Linked DNA regions of Astyanax mexicanus. The protein of the gene in region 2 interacts with the protein of the main gene of each other region in a biochemical or structural test. Links are inferred from orthologs where the notes say so. Each region holds a gene or a part of one and is shown on either strand. Other genes may lie near its edges.

What was found. The genes of interacting proteins can lie anywhere in the genome.
Region 1: the proteins of rps6ka1 (region 2) and tamalin interact in a test that uses a peptide from one of them, tested with the Homo sapiens proteins (2 studies listed by BioGRID and IntAct). The link is inferred for Astyanax mexicanus from reciprocal best matches to the Homo sapiens genes RPS6KA1 and TAMALIN.

Annotation. Positions count from the first base shown.
Region 1 is NC_064420.1:44,915,278-44,926,439, forward strand, and holds the start of tamalin (general receptor for phosphoinositides 1-associated scaffold protein), read right to left. Parts: upstream 4,328-11,162; 5' UTR 4,289-4,327; coding exon 4,067-4,288; intron 1-4,066. UniProt on the Homo sapiens protein: Plays a role in intracellular trafficking and contributes to the macromolecular organization of group 1 metabotropic glutamate receptors (mGluRs) at synapses.
Region 2 is NC_064421.1:34,848,114-34,859,341, reverse strand, and holds the start of rps6ka1 (ribosomal protein S6 kinase alpha-1), read left to right. Parts: upstream 1-6,513; 5' UTR 6,514-6,700; coding exon 6,701-6,916; intron 6,917-10,537; coding exon 10,538-10,654; intron 10,655-11,228. UniProt on the Homo sapiens protein: Serine/threonine-protein kinase that acts downstream of ERK (MAPK1/ERK2 and MAPK3/ERK1) signaling and mediates mitogenic and stress-induced activation of the transcription factors CREB1, ETV1/ER81 and NR4A1/NUR77, regulates translation through RPS6 and EIF4B phosphorylation, and mediates cellular proliferation, survival, and differentiation by modulating mTOR signaling and repressing pro-apoptotic function of BAD and DAPK1.

The DNA.
Region 1 (11,162 bases), on a different chromosome or scaffold from region 2:
GGGCTGGTTTGGGTGTGGGAGGTGGGATACAGGAGGCTCTTCATAAATCGCCCAACCAGTGTCCAGTAACGGGTGTCCAGCAAAATTTACTGTAAAGTCATACGTACCCGTCAAATGTTTGGACACACCTTCTCATTCAAAGTTTTTCAGTGTAGATTAATATTTAAGACATGAAAACAATTAAGGGAGACATATAGAATTACGTATTAAACATTTAAAAAAATATATATATGTTTTTCCTCCACAATCCCCTGATCTAAACCTGATAAACTGAGATGGTGATTTGAGGTGGTGTGGGATGAGCTGGAGCTTCACAGCGACTATTGTTCAGCACCTCCACGAACTCCTTCAAGACGCTGAGAAAACTATTCCAGGTGACTCTACCTCATGAAGACATGAACCTCATGATGTTTATAGTCATAAAACCCACATTATACTCAGATCATAGCTTATTTATCTCAATACAAATCACTTTTTGTCTAGGTCGGCCACAATAACTACAATATCGATTTATTGTACAATATTTGAGTTAACATTTTACCAATATTTTACCAGTAGCATAGTGACCAATACAGCAATAATTGAGCCTCCATACACACAGAGTGAGGAAAAAAGTATAAATCTCTCATCCCACAAACTATCATGAATTAAATTAAGTAAATGCATTATGCTATTATATTGTCATTTCATATCAGTGGCTTTAAATTGGTTTAACCCTTTAACTTCACCTCAACAGTTCGATATTGTACCTTTGAGTCAATGTATATCTAAATAATGAAGATGTTGAACTGAGCTCAGTTTATATTATTACTGTAAACAACATATTTTTATTAGAACAAGGACATTTAAGGGTTTAAATGGCAAAAATTGTTTATCGCAATAATTTCTGAGACAATACAGCATCCAAACAAAAAAAAAAGTATCGGTAACAGGCCTATTTTTGACAAATCGTGAATCTGAGAAACTTTCAAACCATTGCGTCCAAATTTCAATAGAAATGGACCAATAGAAATGCTCTAAAATCACCTGGAATTGAATGTATTTACATTGACTTCCTTTGAAAGATAAGAAGCTCTTCAGCTTCTACTGTAAAGTCGCCGTTTTGGAGATACGAGTTATAAGATATGTAGTATCTCTACCTAAGAACATATTTCAATGCCACTGCATGTTTGAGCAACATTTTGTATGCAGTTGTCTGTTATCAGAAGTAGCATCAAGGCTGTGAGTCGGCCGCAGACACACACCGGCTGTTTATATCATCAAAGCTGTGATGCTACTCACGATAGCATGACCTTAAACTCTCTTCTGGGTTTATACGACCTTTTGCAATACAATTATTTTTGTATACTGTTCCAAATATAATCAGATAAATTCCTCCGCCAAAAAAAGTAGTCCCAACTTTTACCAGTAATTTTGTGGTTGCATGTGAATCACTATCATTAATATAAAATCTAAAAACAAAGATTGGTCAAATTATGGACACATATTTTCACGGCCACAAAATTCTTGTATCTCCATTTTTGTAGTTTTTCTACTTTTTAACCACCTAAATCTGACTGTTATTCTTTATATTGCATCCCCATTTTATTATGGACCAAGGTACCAATAGATATTCTTCAAAATGAAATTATTTTTCTTTGGTTGGAAACTGGAAACACTGATATATCCAATGTCCTGACCTCTGATGTTCCTGTTACACTAAATGAAATAAAATCTCCACAGCAATGCCCTAAAATCGATTTTAAAAAAAGCCTTCCATGGACAGGAGAGACAGTAACTCCAACAAAAACAGGATATAAACCTTTTTTTAAACCCTTCATATCAGACCAAAACAATTAAATAAGCAGGTGTCCCACTGCATTCAGACTCAGAATACGGCTCTAAACTGCAAAGAAGGTACACTCTCCGTTCTTCTCTCTTCTATCTGAGCTACTTAGGCATCTCCATTGGTCACAGTGGCCCGGATCACTCAGCACAATAAGCCACGCTGAATTCAGACTCTTTCAAGAAGTTACACTCCAGTTATCAGACAGAACGAATGGGACAAAGTGGTTTGTTTGAGCTTTGGACACTTATCCCCTCACTGAACAAGCCACAGGAATGACCACCCTGACCCACGGTCAGTGCAATGACGAGCCAAACCCTTCTAATGACGCCAACAAAGCAAATCCACACCATATAACGCACAGTACAGCGCTGTACTCCGCACAGGGGGGCCCATTGTAATGTGCAGGATCCGACTGACCACTTACAGTGCGTCAGACCAGCCCAGGGTCAGAGTCTCTGGTCAAGAGCAGAGTGTGTGGGTGGTCTAGACCCCATAACGCCATCAGTGACCATGAACGTCCTTCAAGATGTGTGGACCCAGGAGAAAAGAAGAGAAGAGAAGAGAGAACAGTGAGTAAGTGACCATGTGTGCTGTAACAGTGCTGGAAATTACACCACTATTTCCCAGAGAACACCACCCAGCTCAGCACGGCTCAGGAGATGAATGGCTCCTGTGAGTGAAGTGCTTCGTGTTGTGAAACTGGAGGCCTCCAGAGACACAATACAGGGGTTATAACTCAATATATTGTGATATAATTATATAATGCAATGTATATTACTCAAATCCAGTTGTAGATAAACTGCCATAGTATAAATACTATTTTTTTTTATTTATAAAAGCTGAAAGAAAGAAACTTTTATAACAGTGAAATCTGAGTACATCACTGGCGCTGCTATTCTAGTGGGCAGGATTTAAACACATGTGTTGCGTTTAAATCCTGCCCACTAGAATAGCAGCAAACCACTTCTGACACCAATCGTCCGTGTAATAAATAACAATAAATACTGTGTTTTAGAGAACCAATATAATTTAGAACTGCAACTCATAATACTGTGATACTTTGTTGCATCTATATTAACATACACCCCTACAGCACATTTAGGACTTGTTTTTTGATTATAGAAGTATGACAATATGCATGTATACCATTAAATTCACGTATAAAATCATAAATAAGCACAGAAAAAAGACATTGTATCATTATATCATTGGAGCATTTCTTTTGGCCAATTCATCACAAACTCTTCACAAAATTTACAAAGAAATTTTGGGCATTTTTAAGTATGATAATTATCAACAACAAACTCTGGAATCACTTTCAGCAAGGGGGCAGATGAAGCAGCAATTAATTAATATTGTCTATTTCCTAATTCTTCTGTGAGGGGTAGCTGAATTAAGTTTTCAATGGGTTTTATTTGATTTTATTTTTCCGTTCCACCTTAATTAATGCCTCCTCTGTTCCATTTAAGGTGGAATAGAAGAGTTAGCTAGGTTAGCTAGCTACTGAGACGAACTACTGACCATCTTTTATGCTTGTTATGAAGTAAATTGGAGTTCTCACCTTTAAACTGAGGACCAGAGTAAGGTACCATCAAACACATATCAAAAAGCTGTGAACATACCACATCTAATCAGCACCGCCGCTGAGCTGTTAGCACCGCTGCTAAGCTAGCGGTTAGCACCGCCGCTTAGCCAGGTTAGCTGTCAGCAGCATCGCTTAGCTAGCTGTTCGCAACGCCGTTTAGCAACGCCGCTTAGCTAGCTGTTACCAGCGTCGCTTAGCTAGCTGTTAGCAACGCCGCTTAGCCAGCTGTTAGTCAATACAATTCTAATCCGCCGTTTTGAGCTTCAAATTAAAAGCCCCACAGCAAGTCACATTGAAATATACTTAAATAATAAAAGCTATTACTGTAACTAAAATATATTATGGAGTGTAGGTATTCCTTTAAAAAATAACGTGTGGCAGGTGTGATTATGATTACATATTTTATAATAGTTCTGTAATTTTAGGTGAATAAATGTGCAGCTATGAAATTTAGTCTGTGAGATATACAATATATACAGCATGTGTTAACGAATGATGTCCATTACAGGGAGCTTTTATGTCTATGCCAGTTATTCATTCATTCATTTAATACCTAGATAAAGAGCTTGATATTTTATACAGAAACTGATTTAAGTTACCACACACACGCACAGTGTTTGTTCACTCAGAATGAAATACATTATTATACCTACTTTGAGTGGGCAGTTAGTGGTAAGCAGGTCTCGTGCAGTGCTCCTAACGTATGTAAATATCAGACCAGGTGTGAGCAGGTGTAAAAAAGCTCGCGGAAGCTCGCAGGTGAGAAACGATTCACATGCCACGCGCCGTTTACAACTAGCCAACTGCGACCGTGTCCAAACGCACGTGCTGACTCCGCTGCTGCATTCACCAGCAGCCGCGTGCAGCAGCCACATCACCACCGACCACTGTTTCTAATCAACCTTAATTAATCACAGCACTTCAGCAGTGCTGTTTATAGAAGCTTAACAAGAACAGAGTTCACTTCAGCTTCTCTCGCAGTAGGGGGTAATTTTAGACAATTAATCTGAAGATTAAAATGTCACATAACATTATTTTGGTCATAGATGATCTGCATGTGCCAGTTTATTAGAAAGTCTGGTGGAACTTAATTGATAATCAGTAATATGACAATTATAGCGGTATTTAAAGCCAGTATCCCAATATGATTTCAAAGCAATGGTCCCAACCATGGCTCTGCCTTGCACATTTTAGTGGGTTCCTGTTCAAACAATCCAATTTCTACTCTGGAAGAGTCTGTTGTTTACAAATTCTTCCGGGGGCTTATTTATAAGCTTGCCCAAATTTCTAGTTTTTCAATTCTGCCCCTCAAAATGCAAATAAAAAAAAATAAAGCTTTACTCAATTTTGCGATATTCATCTTGTAACAAAAGTAGGTTGGATTATATCATCAGATGGGGAAATAAAATATTTCTTGAAATTCAGATTGTGATAGAGATAAATGAAAACTAGAAAATTGTGGGAAAAAAAACAAATTTTTACACCACCACATTTTCTAAAATATATCACAGACCATTGGAAACCACGGTTATAAAGAGAACAAGAAAATAATGGTCCTCAAATTATAAGATGGTAAGGGGTGTTGGGGGCAGGGTAAACTCCAAATTGAGTTGGGATCCACTGATTTAAAGAGTCTAGAAATAGTGCTACCTCAAGTTTTAAAAGAAGCTACCACCCCCAGCAATGAGAGGAACCAATGGCCTTCAAAATATAAGAAGCCCACAGGTGCTGGGAGCAAAGCAAACACTTGGACCACCAAGAACAGGCTTGGGAACCACTGATCTGAAAGAAAGAAAAAAAACATTGAAATGTATATGACAAGAGGTATTCCATAACCAGACTTGAAACCAGAGCAACTTTATCCACACCCAAATCCACTTGTTTAATCAGTTAGTCAGTAGTGAGAGAATCAAAGTTGGAAACAAGTGGGGGAACAAGTGATCTTAAAGAGTCTACGACAGGTGCTTACCAAAGGCTTAAAAATAAGCTACTACCCTCAGAAGAGAGAAGAACCAATGGTCTTCAAAAGCAAGGAGATCAGGAGTGTTGGGGGCAGGGTAAACATTAGGCACTAGGCATGGGAACCACGGACCAGAAGAGCCTTTAAACAGAGTTGTCTGAAGTTGTAAAAGAAGCTACTACACGCAGCAGAGAAAAGAAACAATGGCCTTCAAAATGTAAGAAGACCATGGGTGCTGGGAGCATGCAGGACCTACAATCCCAAAGTTTGTTTTCTAATGCATAGAGCAGATCCAACATTCTTTGTATAAATGGAGGTCTTTCAGAATTATGGCTAGAAACGAATGACCTAAAGAGTCTAGAAAAAGTGTTAAAGTGTTTTTAAATAATCCACTACCTTGTGTAACAAAAAGCACCAATGGCTATTAATATAAAAGAAGACTGTGTGTGTTGGAAACAGGGTAAATACAAAAGAACAACCAAGACTAGGCACAGGAATCTAGAAGTCTAGAAATCACAGGAGTCTAGAAATGCTGTATAAGCTTCAATATACTGTATATGAAGACCAAGGCGTGAGAGCAGGGTAAACAAAGCAGGACCACAAGTACCAATGTTGGGAAGCACTTATGTGAGAAGTCTACAGAATGTGTTATCTTAAGTTGTAAAAGAAGCTGCTACCCTCAGCAGAGAGAAGAACCAACAGACTTCAAAATATAAGACCATGGGTGTTGAGAGCAGGGTGAACACAGCAGGACCACAAGCACCTCTAACGTGAGGAGTCTGCAAAATGTGTTATCTGAAACTGTACAAGAAGCTGCTACGCTTGGCTACCCTCCTTAAAATGGAGAAGATCATGGGTGTTGGAAACAGAGTAAATATTAAAGGACCACCATAAGCAAGCTTGTGAACCACAAAGCTAAAGGGTCTAAAGTAGTAAAAAAAAAAAAAAAAAAAAAAAAACAATGGCACTCATAGGTCTGGAGCTTCTTCAGAACCAAAGATGCTGGGAACCACTGATCTTAAAGTAGTAGGTTTAAAAGAAGCTGCTATCATCAAGAGCAGAACCAACCAATGATATTTAATTTGTAAGAAGATCATGAGTGTTGATCAGAATAAATTCTAAAGAATCACAAGGACAAGGCATGGGGACCACTGCACTGAAGAGTCTAAAGCTGCGACCCTTAGCATGAGAGAAGAACCAATAGATTTCAAAATCCTCTATGACAGTTTTATTTTTCTACTTTTTAAAAGTGATTAATTCTGATCATTTAAAGAATTTATATTAATTATGATATGAAATAACACACATGATTTAGTTCTTTAAACAGGTTTTAAAGAACACAACAGCTTTAAAAGAGCAGAACCAATGGCTTTCAACATGTGAGAAGACCATGGGAGTTGGAAGACCAAGACTCTCAAAATTAAGGTGTGATCATGAGCAGGTGTGTTGGGAACTGTAAAAAAAAAAAAAAAAGGAAAAACAATAATTGCAAACCAATGTTCCTCATGGGACTGGAGAATATTCAGAACCATTGATGCTGGGAACCACGGATCTTAGGTTTAAAAGAAGCTGCTATCCTCAACCAAGAGCAGAACCAATGGGTTTTAATTTGTAAGAAGATCATGAGTGTTGTTCATGCTAAATACTAAAGCTCCACTAGGACCAGGCACAGGGACCACTGCACTGAAGAACTTGAAGCTGCTACCTAAAGTATTACAACAAGCCATTTAAGTGAACACTTAAATGTGCAGGAGAAGGAGTTCATCCAGAACTTGGGTTGGGAACCAATGGTCTTAAAGTCTTTAAAGAACACAACAGCTTCAAAATAAAGCTAGCTACTGCCACCATCCCAGAGAAGAACCAATGTCCTTCAACATGTGAGAAGACCATGGGTGATCAACGTGTGTGTTGGGAAGAGTACAAAAAAAAGATATCAAAGAAATGCAAACCAATGGTCCTCAAAGGACTGGAGGATATTCTGAACCAGAGTTGCTGGGAAACACCGATCCACTTAAAGTAGTAGCTTTTAGATTTTAAAGAAGCTGCAACCTACAGCCCAGAGCAAAAACCCATGGTCTCCAGAGCGTGAGAAATAAGCTGAGCTTCCAGAAAATAGAGTTTCTTACCTTTTTGAAGTTCCTGGGCAGGGTTCCTCCAGAGTAAGCGAGGGTCTTGTAGTTGTAGATGTCTGAGGAGCTGGCTGGTCTCTCCATGTTCCTGCAGCTGTCTGATTTGGAGGAGGAGAAGTAGATATCTCCACTGCCCGGGCAGGAGCCTCCGTCCGGCTCGCTGGAGTTCAGCTTCTTGATCCGCCTGAAAGTCATATTCTTCATGATCTGATCAAACACACACACACACACACTGCCGCGCGAGTGATGATCACTCCAATCCCCCGTTTAATCTTCCCTCTATCACTCTTTTATCACTCTGCACTCCGCTCTCTCCGCTGAACACTCCTCACCTCTGCGACTGCTCCCCTCACACTACTGCTCTAACTTTAGGACCAGGGCCATGTGGAGGGGGCGGAGCCACTACAACAGAGGCGGGTTCACTGAGGGGGCGTGGCTTGTGAGCTGAGTGAGCGATATGATTGGCCGGTGGGTGGAGCATCATTGTTTTTGTTTTCTTTTGTTTCACTGAATTTTGGACACGTTCATTGTTTTCAGATCAAAATAAAGCACTGGGAAGAGTCACGTGTGCTTTAAAATTCTATCAGTTTTCTTTGAAAGTAAAAAAAGTTGTTAAAATAGTGTTAAAATGAATATATATATATTTTTTGAGAATATATTTCGATAATTATGATAAGAATTATTAGTAGCCTGCAGCCTCTAAAGATTGAAGATTCAGTACAGGTGTACATGTGAGTGAAAAACGTGGGTGCAGATTCCCACTAATGTGCAGAGAACAATATTTACAAGAAGAATAATAAAATAAAATATAATATAAAATAAGATATACAGATAGCTTTACAGTATAAAAATATACACGATACACTCAATAACAATACATAGTCCAGTAGGTGACAGAATAACTATGAGTTATTCTATAAATAACACATATGATTCAGTTACAGACACTAAACTATATGTATACTATAAGATTATAGCATGACAATATGTATTATTTTAGTATGTAGTAATATTAGACTTTTGTTAATGCGCTAGTTTGATAAAAGCCTGAAAATACATTTTGATAATTATGATAAGAATTATTAGTAGCTTGCAGCCTTTAATTAACACACATGATTTAGTTACAGACACTAAACTCTAAACTATATATATATATATATATTATAAGCTTGACCATATGTATTATTTTAGTACTTAATAATATTAGACTTTTGGTAATGCACTAGTTTGATAAAAACAAAGTTGAGAATACATTTTGATAATTATGATAAGAATTATAAGTAGCTTGCTGCCTTTAATTAATACACATGATTTAGCTACAGACATTAAACTCTAAACTATATTCATACTGTACGTTTATAGCATGACAATATGTATTATTTTTGTATTTAGTAATATTGAACTTTTGGTAATGCACTAATTTGATTAAAAAAAAAAAATCAATAAACTTTACAGTTACATTTCTGGCATTTATTACATGTCCTATAGAGGTATTACAGAAGAGTCTGCCCAAGGACTATTGGCACACTGTTTTGTCACCAGAGTGGGTATTGAACCCCACTCCTCTACATGTGGTTGTAGCTCACTGGCAGACAGGTAGTACTGTTATCCATTGCACCACACCAACCACCTTTTTCTTTTTAAAATCATTTGATGGTCAGGGTTCATACACATTTTAACCAATATATTTCAGTTATTTTTCATGACTGTTCCATGCCTTCAAGGCAAATTTTTATGACCACATGATTTTTAAAACACCAGTGCAGACATGGACAATAAAACCAAAAATCAACTAAAACTATAATCGAATTTGATTATAGTAGGCCTAAAATTAATCTTAGAAAAATGTTGAAACACAATCTTTAATAATAAAATGTGTGTCAGATCCTGAGAGCTCCATTGTGTAGGGCTAAATTGCTGAATTAACTCTGAGCTGACGTATTTGAGCATCAATAAACGAAAACATAGATTTGTTGACCAAATTTTCATGACTTTTTCAAAACTTTCTAGGTATTTTTATTTTTCCAAAACTTAACCAGGCCTGGGGAATTGCTATTTTCAAAAAACATGACTTTTCCAGGTTTTTCATGACCCTAGGAACCCTGGATGGTGCACATTGTTACATTTTTTCAGAGCAAATTACATGTAAAGCGTGTTACACCGGTAAAAGAAAGCAATGCTTTGGTGTTGTACACAATGTATAGTGTGGTGCTCTTACCCAGCCAGGAACTCAAACCCCAGTCTAGCACAGGAAAGGCCCCTGTGTGTTACCCACTCATTATACTACATCAACCACACACATCCCTCACTGCTGCTGCCCACCACTGCTGGAATCTTCCCTACACACATTTCCAAACACCCAAGTCCCACCAGTTCTCAGTGCTCTTTAATCTGCTTACTTTCTTTTTTATCCATCTGATCATGACATTTGATCATCTTCACTCTTCAACCCACTCCTCCATCACTTGATGACATTAACATTGTCTTCTTGACCTTTGAAGTCATTCAAAGTCATACAAAGGCACATATTAAGTTTGTGACACATCCAATCAAATCATTTGGACTACCAATACATACACTCACATGCTAAATGTTATGGGACTTGAACTAGTAGTGTGTCCCATGACTTTTGCTATGTCCCATATAAGCTAAAGAGAGCTGCACTTACCTTGTGGGATATGGGGGTGTTGAATGTGGAGAAATGCGATTTCTACCAGAGTTGCTTGTCTGTTCACATGGACAATTCTAGCCAGACACTGCCGGTCACCATCATTACTACTTACTGTGCTGCACTATCCACTGTGGGTGTTAATATTAGCCATATATTAGCCTTCCGGGCTATGGTGCATTCCCGGTACACAACACTGTGGAGTGAGAAATGTTAAATACCATGCATACACATTGTTCAACCTTACTCACAAGATAACGCCTCACAACGTATGCAGGTACATCTCAAAAATTTGAACATCATTGAAAATTATTTCAGTTATTCAGATCAAACTGTGAAACTCATATCATATAGATGTATTACACACAGAATTATCTATTTTAAGTATTTATTTCTGTCATTCTTGATGATTGATTATGGCTTACAGCCAAAGAATACCCAAAAATCAGTGTCTCAGAAAATTAGAATATTATATAAGACCAATTGGTACTTTTGGCAGTGTGGGCAGTGTGCCAAGTCCTGCTGGAAAATGAAATCCGCATCTCCATTAAAAGTTGTCATGCTGGGGGAAGAAGCATAAAGTGCCGTAATATTTTTTGGGAAAACACTGCACTGTGGATCAACACCAGCAGATGACATGTCTCTCCAAACCATCACTGATCAACAGTAAAATTTTTAATTCATTTGTAAATCAAGGGAGCAGAGTCTGGAGGAAGAGTGGAGAGACACACAGTCCAAACTGCTTTAGGTCTAGCGTGAAGTTTCCACCAATCAGTGATGGTTTGGAAAAACATGTCATCTGCTGGTGTTGATCCACTGTGTTATATCAAGTAAAGTCCTGACCCATGAAGTCTTTTTTCATGTTTCGTGCAAAAAAAAACCTGAAAAGCACCTTCAGACATTTGTAAGCTCTTAGATGCTGGAAAGATGAACTACATTGTACCAGAGAAGAGGTTTATGAGCTGTTGTTGTTGGTTTCTTACTCCAGCTCA
Region 2 (11,228 bases):
TTCAGAAAAAGAGGAAATGCAGAATGAGTGTAAATGGCTAACTGTGCGTGTGTGTGGGGTGTGTGTCGCTTTCGACTAAGTTTTCGGACATGTGGAGGCACATCTTCCGCACCAAGCAGCGCGTGTGTGAGGCAAGTTAACATCATCCATCTAAAATTTGGATAGAGAGAGGGAAGGGGGCACTAAGTGAAAAAAGGGAATTAGTTTTGAATGAAAGGGCAGTGAAAGGCAGTGTTCCTTATCTTTCTGTGTGCTGCCGGTTCTTTTGAGTGGGGAAGTGTATGAGACTGTCACTTTGTAGTTTAGTGTGTGTGTGTGTGTCAAGGCTTCTGTGAAGATTCTTTTTACTACTACTCATTTTTGACTTTGTGTATCTACTACAGCAACTATTAGGTCTTTAAAGGCAGATACGTTTTGTTGCAGTTGAATCCGAGTTAAGGCAGAAACTTTTTGTAGCAGTTGAGTCCAAGTTAAGGCAGAGACCTTGTAGCGGTTGGGTCTGAGTTAAGGCAGAGACTTTGTAGCAGTTGAGTCTGAGTTAAGGCAGAGACTTTGTAGCAGTTAAGACAAAGACTTTGTAGCAGTTTAGTCTGAGTTAAGGCAGAGACTTTGTAGCAGTTGAGTCTGAGTTAAGGCAGAGACTTTGTAGCAGTTAAGGCAGAGACTTTGTAGCAGTTGAGTCTGAGTTAAGGCAGAGACTTTGTAGCAGTTAAGGCAGAGACTTTGTAGCAGTTGAGTCTGAGTTAAGGCAGAGACTTGAGCAGTTGAGTCTGAGTTAAGGCAGAGACTTGAGCAGTTGAGTCTGAGTTAAGGCAGAGACTTGAGCAGTTGAGTCTGAGTTAAGGCAGAGACCTTGTAGCAGTTGAGTCTGAGTTAAGGCAAATACTTTGTAGCAGTTGAATCTGAGTTAAGGAAGAGACCTTTTTTTCAAGCCATTTTCTAGTAGTAGTCTAAGAATCTGACTTAAGACTGAAACTTTAAAGCGGTCATGTCTGGGCAAATCAAGGCTGAGTGTTTGTGAAATCCTGGACATTGGTTTGCACGTTTTACTTTGTACTTTTTGTCAGAGTCTTTTATCACAGTAGCCTGTGTAGTGGTTGGTTCCAGTCTTTATTATATCATATTTTTTGCTCTATAAGGTGCACTATCAATGAATGTCTATTTCCTGGTCTATTTTCATACACAAGGTACACCAGATTATAAGGCTCTATAAAGAACTTGTAATTAAGTAGGTCTTGCCACTGGGTGATGGTGGGGGGGTAACTAGGTTAAGGAAAGCTAAGCTAAGTAAACAAAACTGTAATAGAAAAAAGACTTTCTTTTAAAGTCAAACGAATGCTTGATGTTAATCTACACAGATGGCTACAGGCCAATAATACTCCCTCTGAACGGTGAAATAGTGGTTAGCAGCTAATGCTAATGCTACTCCAATGCCTGAAACATTAAACTGAAACTCCTGAATAACCCTCAATTTGGTGTCTTTACTGCTCCTTACAACCTGCCTGGTAGAATTCACACATTAGAGGCACTGGATTAAAAGGCGCACTGACAATTTTTAAGTGCACCTTCTATTATAGTGCGAAAAATATGGTAGTCGTGTCCAGAGTCAAGTTTAAGTCTTGGTAAAGGCAGAGACATTGTATTTGATTAATCCGAGTCAAGGCATGTTTTGTAGTATTTGAGGTTAAGTCGATGGTTAGTCCTTATAGTTTTCAAAGTCATGAACAAGGTTTGGTAGCATTCGAAACTAAGTTAAGGCCCAGACTTTTAACAATTAAATGAAAATGATTAGTGATAATCAAGTTTTGGTCCAGGCCTAGTAATTGTACAATTCTGGCAAGCACTGGATTCTGATATACTACTAAAGTAGTGCAGTAAGAGTATCTGTGACTGAGTCCTCTCCCCCCCTCTGGAGCTAAACTCGATGGTGTAAGAGCGGAGAGTGCATGTCGTTGTTGATCTGAAGCTGCTGTGTTGAAATAGCAGAAGGAACAGAGGAAATTTCACTTGAGTCATTTTTACATGATTAGGCTGGACTGTGCGTGTGTGTGCTCGTGTCTCTATGTGTGTGTGTGTGTGTGTGTGTGTGTGTGTGTGTGTTTAAGGGTAGTTGGTGATTGTTTTAGTAGAACGAGTAGCTGTTTATGAGCTTTGAAAAGTGGGAAACAAAGTTATGCAGTAATGGTGAGTTGTGTGTGTGTATGCGTGCGTGTGTGTTTGTGGCATCATAGTGACTTCATATTTTTTAGCTGTAGGAGTTAAGACAGGAACTTGTAAATAAAAGACACTACATAATCCATAGTGATATTAATAGTTATATTAATATTAATAGTAATATTAATATATTAATATTAATAGTAATGTTGATATTTTAAAATTCATAATACATACTGATAAAACTTTAGCATATTTAATTCATAGTGGATACTGAATGATTCATATTTGTTTCTAAATTATTCATTGTAAATAATGAATACATTATCAGTGGATGCCAAATGATTTGCACTGGATACTGTAATCACTAAATAATTTGTAGTATATAATATAAATCAGTCATAGTGGATACTAACTAATACATAGTCATAATCATTCTCCTCCTACATTGAACAGAAGCAGTCAGAGATCACGTGGGTGGAGAAAGACTTCTCCAACATTCGACAGGTAAGAACTCACCTGGAGCTTTCAGCTTAGACTCTGTCTTTTCTGCTGTAACTGAGCTACGAATTTCAGCTACTAACCTGCTGCTACACGCTTTTTGAAGATACTACCAAATTTTCACACTATAAGGCGTACCAGATTATGAGGCGCACTATCAATAAATATCTATTTTCATACATAAACCGCACTGGATAATAAGGCACATTTTGTGACACTAGTAAGGAATAAGGGTGTCGCCATGTTTACCTTTAAATTCAACAGGTCTGTCTGCTGCGTGGTGAGACCTGTAAAGCTAAGCTAAGTAAACAAAACTATTCTAAAAAAAAATATATAATAATAAAAAAAATTCAGTCATAAGTCCGTGCTGGATGTTAATTTCCTGAAAACTGTTTATTTGTGTTAGTAAAGCTTGTGCTTATTTACAGTAAGCTTAGATATCCACATTTTTACAGCACTAAGGACTGGAGCATTAGCATTAGCCGCTAACCGCTAGTGATTAGCTGCTAATGCCGCCCGACAGAACCCTGAGTGTTCCGGTAAGTGCGATATTAGCTATCGTCCCACGTAGCTTGTTTTAACACTGTAAACATGCAGTTTACAGTCAGATATACTCACCTTTAATCTAATGCTGTGGTAAGTGGATAATGTTAATTCTGCTTCTGCAGTGCTAGCGTGGGTTAGCAGCAAGCTACAGGCCAGTAACACTCACCTCTGGTCGGCCAACAAGCTAGCACTTAGGGCGGTTAGTAGCTGATGCTAATTCTAATGCTGGGCAACTAAACTGAAAATTCTGTTTAACACTGAATTTCAGCGGAGTGGTTTTAGAGTGTGGTTTGGTTTGTTTAATTTTTATCCCCAGATGCTATTTGGTTTTTCCGTTTTTTTTTTTTTCAGTATTGCAAGTCTTAGTAATTTTCTTTGGTCATGTGGAGTATTTCGTTTCTTATCTTTTTTTAATTTGTTAGATTATATTTTTGTCAACATTTTTGGGTTTATTTTCGTTTGCTATTTTTCTAATAATAATAGTAATTACATAATTAATTTTCTTTTGTTCATTTTTTTACTGGGAAAGTAACGCAATAGTTACTTTTACTGGTAACTAGTTACTTTTATAGTGGAGTAACTCCGTTAGTAACTCAGTTACTTTTTTGGAGAAGTAACTAGTAACTATAACTAATTACTTTTTCAAAGTAACGTGCCCAACACTGACAGCTGTCTGATTTAAAACGCTTGCCAGATGTGACCTACCCAGATGTGATCACTATCTTGTTGAAACGCAGTGAAAGCGTACCGCAGTTTGAGCGCATATAATTACTTTCTCAGTGGAAGTTGGGAATATGAGTTCCTATAGTAGAGAAGCATCACTATAGTGTATGGTGAGGTGGAGCAAGTCAAACGCTGTCCAACACGTACTCTGCATTATTTATTGATAAGAAAGAGGGAGAAGTTGTGAGCGGACACTGTAACTGCATGGCAGGTTCGCAGTGTGAAAAATGAAAGCAGGCGTGTTTACTATGGAGGACCAAAAATGACAGAAGTATAAATAAATAAATGTTTAAATAAATAAATGAATAAATAAATAAATGTTGACATAAATAAATGCACATATAAATGAATAAATAAATATATAAATAAGAAATGTATTTATTAATTTATTTACCTATACAATTATTTGTGCATGTATTTATTTATTTATTCATATATTTTTTTATTTATTCATTTATATGTGCATTTACATATATATTTATTAATTTCAACATTAATTTATTTATTCATTTATGTATTTATATATTTATACATTTCTATGTGTGTTTATTTATACTTATGTCATTTTTGGTCCTCCATAGTTTACTTGTTTAAAGAACAATTTGACCTGATTTTCAATGTTTATGACTCTCAGATTAGGTGAAGTTTGCATTCATGTTAAATTATGTTAAAGTTACGTCCACTGTTTTGAACGCTCTTTACGGCTAAACGGAAGTGTCCTAGGAACAGCTACGTCACTTCCTACGCTCATGAATATTCCTCTGAAACGGTCTATAAGATGCACTCACGATTTTTGGGAAAATAAAAGGATTTTAAGTGTGTCTATACTTCTACATAGTGATACAACTCCTGCTTCCGGACTGCAATAACAAAAACTGGGTTTTTTTGTATATTTTTTGGGGGGAGCATTCTGTGAAAACCCTTTTAAGGGAACTGGTTGAATTGTAACACAGCCTCTAATTATTATACACAGAGAAATGGTGCCCTCTAGTGTACAGCACTGCTGTAGCATTAAGTCTCACTTTCTCTTGTTCACTCTACCCTAAACTTTTAATCTCTCTCTCTCTCTCTCTCTCTCTCTCTCTCTCTCTCTCTCTCTCTCTCTCTCTCTCTCTCTCTCTCTCACTTTCTCTCTCTCTTTCTCACCTTACTCTTTTTCTCTCTTTCTTTTACAATCACCCTCACTGTCTCTACCTCTGTCTTTACCCTCTTTATCACTTTACCCTTCTCCTCCATCTCTTTCTCACTTTCTCTACCATAACTCCTCAGTCTTTTTCTTTTTTCTACTTCAATCACCATCATCTCACTTTCTCTCTCTCTCACTCTCTCTCTCACTCTCTCTCTTCATTACTATGTGTAATTATTTGTTCTTTCTATCTTTATTCTCTTTCTTTTTTACATCTTACTCTTTTTCTTTTTTGTGATTAAGGATTTGTATGGGGAGCAGCAGACGGGCAGAAAGAGTGAATGCAAAATAAAAAGGAGCATGAGTGACAAATATCTATGGGCACAATCTTCACAGATAGAGATAAATAGGAGAAAGTGTCCGTATTCAAAGCATACTTTCCAAGAAAATCCAAAATATTCAGCACAAAAGTCTGTCATGTTTTAACAGGGCTTAGCATGGTGAAGTCGAGTTATGGTACATTCAAGTTTTGCTATATTCAGTAGATTAAACACCCAAAATGATTCCATGTAAAGGCCAGGTGTAATCCAGTTTTGTAGAATTGTCTCTTTAGCAGCAGTAAATCCAGAGAACAATAGCTTGCACTGTATCATCTTCAACTCCAAGTTGGAGTTATCATTCAGGAGACAAAAGCATGGATCCCAATTGTATTCTGTTTTAAGAATATCAGACAACACTGTGTTCACATATCTCCAAAATTGTATAATTACAGGACATACCCAGAACATACGAGAAGCAAAGGTGTTACATTTATGGCAGTAATAGTACATTTGAATTTTAACCTAAGGTGGTAATAGAAAGGGGGTTTGTAGAGGCTTGTGATAAATCCTAGCAACACATCCTCTTAAAGGTAAATGAGGTTGTATCTATTTCACCATTGGATGAGTTGCTATTTGAGAGCCCCTTGGGCCCATATATGCTTTGAGTGCTGATCTTATATGCAAATACACAAAATAGGTAGAAGATGGCAGATTAAATGTAACCTTAAATGACTGAAAAGAGTGAAAACCTCCATCGGTCAACGGTCAACCACAAACGTTAATACTCTCTTTTACAATCACCCTCACTCTCTCTACCTTTGTCTTTACCCTCTCTACCACTTTACCCTTCCCCTTCATCTCTATCTCACTTTCTCTACCATCACTAACTCTGGCCTATTTCTTTTTTCTCTGTCAATCACCATCATCTCTCTCTCTCTCTCTCTTTCTCTCTCTCTTTCTCTCTCTCTCTTTCTTTCTCTCTCTCTGTCTCTACATATCTAGCTTATTTTTTAGCATTTTCTCTTACTTTCTTTCTTTCTCCATCTCCTGTATGTTTCTTTCAGTTCAGTAAGTTTCTCTATCTCTCTCTCTCCCTCCCCTTCAACCTCTTCCTTCCTGTCTAACTACATTTCACATCCCTCGTTCAGGCTCTCACACTCGCTCTCGCGCTGCAGCAGTACGAGTTGTAGTGTGAGTTGTGTGAAGCTGGGCGAGCGGTAGTCAGTTAGTGTTGTGAGAGAGAGATGCCGAGGTCCGTCAGATTAACCATAGCAGGAGGCAGATAGAGGAGGTGACTGTGGGAACCCCGGACTGGTGGAGAGATGAAGAGATGGAGAGAGAGAAAGAGAGAGGGAAGTTTAAGCTGAGGCAGGTGCTCACACTCTACCTGTTTAAAAGACAACAGCGGAAAGCGCTGACTAACGGCGCTAACGACCCTAATGGCTCTAACTTCTGTCCACTGGTGGAGGCCAATAGCAGCACAGCTGCCACCGCATCATTAACTGCATCCAGCACCGCTTCAACATGCGAACAGAGGCAGTGGATGGTCAGTACACAACATGCACGCACACAGACACTATTACATAAGTCTACACTCTCTTAAGAGTTAGTGCTTCTTTAAGGGATGCCATAGAAGAACCAATTTGGTTCCATAAACAACCTGGTTTAATAAAGATTAAAAAGAAGAACCTTATGGTATAGATGGTAGAAATTAATTTTATGTGAGGCAACACCTGCTGTCCCATTACTTTTGGCATGTCAGCGTAGAAAAAAAAAACTCGCACCTTCCAAACATGGTAGAGGAAGTTTTGTACACTGTTACTGTAATAAAAAAAGATCAATGACTATATTTAAAAATATTGTCTTACACTGGTCTAATAGTTTAGTGGTGTCTTGCTGGTATTGGACTGGTTCTGATACCTGGTCTTAGATGGGTTCAGCCTGTAGTGTTGTGTGATTAGGACTGGGTCAGGGCAGCTGTTAGTTTCGATGTGAGAGGAGGAGCAGTACTGAGATGTGATGAGGATGTGATCTGTGGGTGTTTACGTCTTTTAAAAGGTGTCAAACACTCGACTCAAAGTGTAACTAAGTGGAGGTGGTTAATTTTAATGTGATATCAGCACAATTAGAAGGAAAACACACTTTGTTTGGCGTGACTTGGCTGCTCTCACTCTGTTTTCTCTATGGCTGCCTGTGTTTGTATATGGGTAGCGGTAAGTGGCAAGTAAAGGTTCAGTGCAGTCAAACTCATTAGCAATATTAACCAATAATGCAATAATATGAAAAAAATCAACAAAACATAACACAAAACAACGCAGGTGACCAAGTCGAGGTAATAGTGTTAAAAAAAAATCCTCAGAGCTGGAGGAACAAACCTTGGTAGGACTCACTTTTTTTTTTTGGTCAAACTAAACATAGCACAAAGTTTTGTGTTTTTTCCTGTAAAAACACTTTTTTTAAGTTTCTGGTGCCATTTCTGCCTGACTGGCACCTGATTGGCAGAACCTGTAAGAAATTGGCCCTGCGGCAGTGGTCAGAAGGTGTCTATGCGTTAGGAACAACTTCAAGCTGGTGCTCTGCAAAACCAAGCTGAGGCTTCATATGGAGTAAGCCCTGGAATAATTTATACAGTCATATGAAAAAGTTTGGGCACCCCTATTAATCTTAGTTCTAAATATTTGGGTGTTTGCAACAGCCATTTCAGTTTGATATATCTAATAACTGATGGACACAGTAATATTTCAGGATTGAAATGAGTTTTATTGTACTAACAGAAAATGTGCAATATGCATTAAACCAAAATTTGACCGGTGCAAAAGTATGGGCACCCTTATCATTTTATTGATTTGAATACTCCTAACTACTTTTTACTGACTTACTGAAGCACAAAATTGGTTTGGTAACCTCATTGAGCTTTGAACTTCATAGCCAGGTGTATCCAATCATGAGAAAAGGTATTTAAGGTGGCCAATTGCAAGTTGTTCTCCTATTTGAATCTCCTCTGAAGAGTGGCATCATGGGCTCATCAAAACAAAACATCAAATGATCTAAAAACAAAGATTGTTCAACATAGTTGTTCAGGGGAAGGATACAAAAAGTTGTCTCAGAGATTTGCAAAGGTAAACTAAACCTGCATACAGGAGTCTGCAAGATATCCCTTAAAAGTCTCACTCGAATGTGTGACGGTTTAAAGCTTTATCATATATATTCAAGATTCAAAATATGTGTGACTTCCTCATTTGCCTTATTTATCTGGAAAACTGTTGCACAGACAGTAGCGTAAGCTAGCCTGTTAGTAGTTAGCCTGGGGCAAAGGTGTTAGCAGCAAGCCTGTAAGGGGCTAGCATGTTAGCAGTTAGCCTATTAGCGGTTAGCCTGTCACTATTTATTTAGATAACTGTCCTGTTGTCCTGTTATTTTTTGTCTAAACGTTTATAAGTAAACAGCCTGAATGTTGTATTTAATAAATTTTCTGTTAAAAAAATAACCCAACATTTAATTATTTTGCAGCCATGTAAACATAGGACTTTAAGCAGTTCCTGCAAATTCCTGTCCCATATAATAGCATATACCACAGTAATGTTTTCACAAAAAAAAAGTGATATTGCCCAACCCTTATTGTGTTAAGATATTTAAATTGGTCTTGTTTGACTTGTTTGAAATGTACCAGTAAGGCTGGGGTTTTCAATACAGTGTGGTGCAAGATTTACAGTTAATTTGTCCAGTAAGTGCATCTGTAAAGCTGGGTATTCCAGTGGCTATTAAGGGCAACTGTAATGCTGGGTTTCCAAGTCAGTGGCCAATAAGGGTAAATGTAAGGCTGGCATTTGAAATAAAGTGGCCAGTAATCGTAGCTGTAGAGCCGGGGTTCTGATAGACAGCCTGTGCTGGTGATAGTAAAGTAGTGTGTATTTAAATCCCTCTGTACAGCGAGATTATTTTGAGTTATTTGACACTGTGGTTTAAATGGTGAAGTAGGCTCGTTTCCCGTAACTGTGCTGCGAGGTGGAGTTCCTCTGCTGGTTCCTGTGTGTGTGTGTGTGTGTGTGTGTGTGTGTCACCGCATCTGATCTCATTTATTATATGTTATTTGTTATATTATATTATATGTTTCTCAGAGCTCTAATGGGTGTATTAATAAAGACTATCCAGCGGAATTCTCTGCTGAATGATGCACATGCACTCAGAGGATTTTTGTAGCGAGGCAGAATTTAGCACAATAACTGGAAAGACAACTTATTACATTGTTAACACAACATGCCCTTCTACAAACCAATCAGTGTCAGCACACACAGGTGAAGATAACTGAACACAGCGCGCAGTTCTTCAGTTTGTTGCTGAACTGCAGTGTGAAATCAAAACTATCTGGACCTAATGTAAACGATGCATACAGACTGTGATTCGCATACTGGTCCACACGTTCAGGTGTAAAAAAAGCCCTAAATATGCACATGTTTATATTTTATACTCCCATTTCCCACCAAGCACCTGTGCTTCATTTCACCTAAAGGAACAGGTTAAACAATCTAATACCAGTTGACCAGACTTATTTGGTCCACAATGGGAGATGCTAGGCTAATATTGCTAACAAACACTGTCACTATTCTCTTCTTGCATGCTTTTGGTCTGGTCTTAAGAAGCGGGAGGTGCTTCTGGTGTCACACAGCTCCAAACCGCAGACTGCAGCTGATAATCTGACTGGTGATAATGGGGGTTTCCAGGCTGATATGCTGTTAATGTGAATAAGAACCTATGATGCTGGTTCCATGAATTAGATCATGGAAATTGTGATGTTAATCTGGACACAATGAAGCCATGAAGTGATGCAGTAGGGTTTTTTTTGTTTGTTTTTTTTGGGGGGAAACTAGAGATAAGGACTTTATTATATTTTACATTTTAAATTTGGGCTTTAAACTGTCCTTTCATTTTTATTTTGGAGTTTATTCTGTTTAAAATTCTGGCCTCTCTCTTACTGTTCTCTTAATTTTTATGTTTATCCCTATTATGTCCTTGACTTTTGATATTGTAATTTACTTTGTTCCTTATTGTTTTATTTTAAATCCTGTGTCTAGGTTTTATTAAATTTTTATTTGTTTCCAAAATAATGTTGAGTTATTAAAATAAAGCTTCCTTTATAAAACCTAACCAAAAATGTGTCCTTTTGCAGGATGATGATGTCATCAAAGAGATTAACATCACACATGTGGTTAAAGAGGGGGCGGAGAAAGCAGACCCATCCCAGTTCGAGTTGCTCAAGGTGTTGGGCCAGGGGTCTTTCGGCAAGGTATGAAAACACACACACACACACACACACACACACACACATTTCTATATTATACTAAACATTCTCTAAACAGTTTTAATTATAACCTCCTAATGCTTAATATGCAAAACCCATCCCCATGGCCATCCTCTTAAAATCTCGATGCAGTCATCAGCCATGGTGCACTGAGCACCATTATAAACTCAGTACATCACAAATTATGGGCAGGGTTTTCAGACTGGTCAATTTTTTTTTATTTGACTGTCAGGTCAGAAATTAGATTTCTGGACATGATGTGAATTTGTGTAGTTAAAATTATTTTCTGATTTCTGTTCTAATCATAAATCATTCCTAACCGTAATCTTTATCATGACCTTAAAATAAAACAATATGATGATGATTACCTAGGCCTGTCGCTATAATTACCCTATTGACTTATTGTATTATAAATAAACATTATTTCAATGGGTTTTACTCCATTCGATATTGCCCATTACATACACATGCCTGTACTTTAGCGGATATTGTTTTTAGCCACTGTAGCAGGCAACACACACACACACACACACATACAGACACATACACAAACAATATA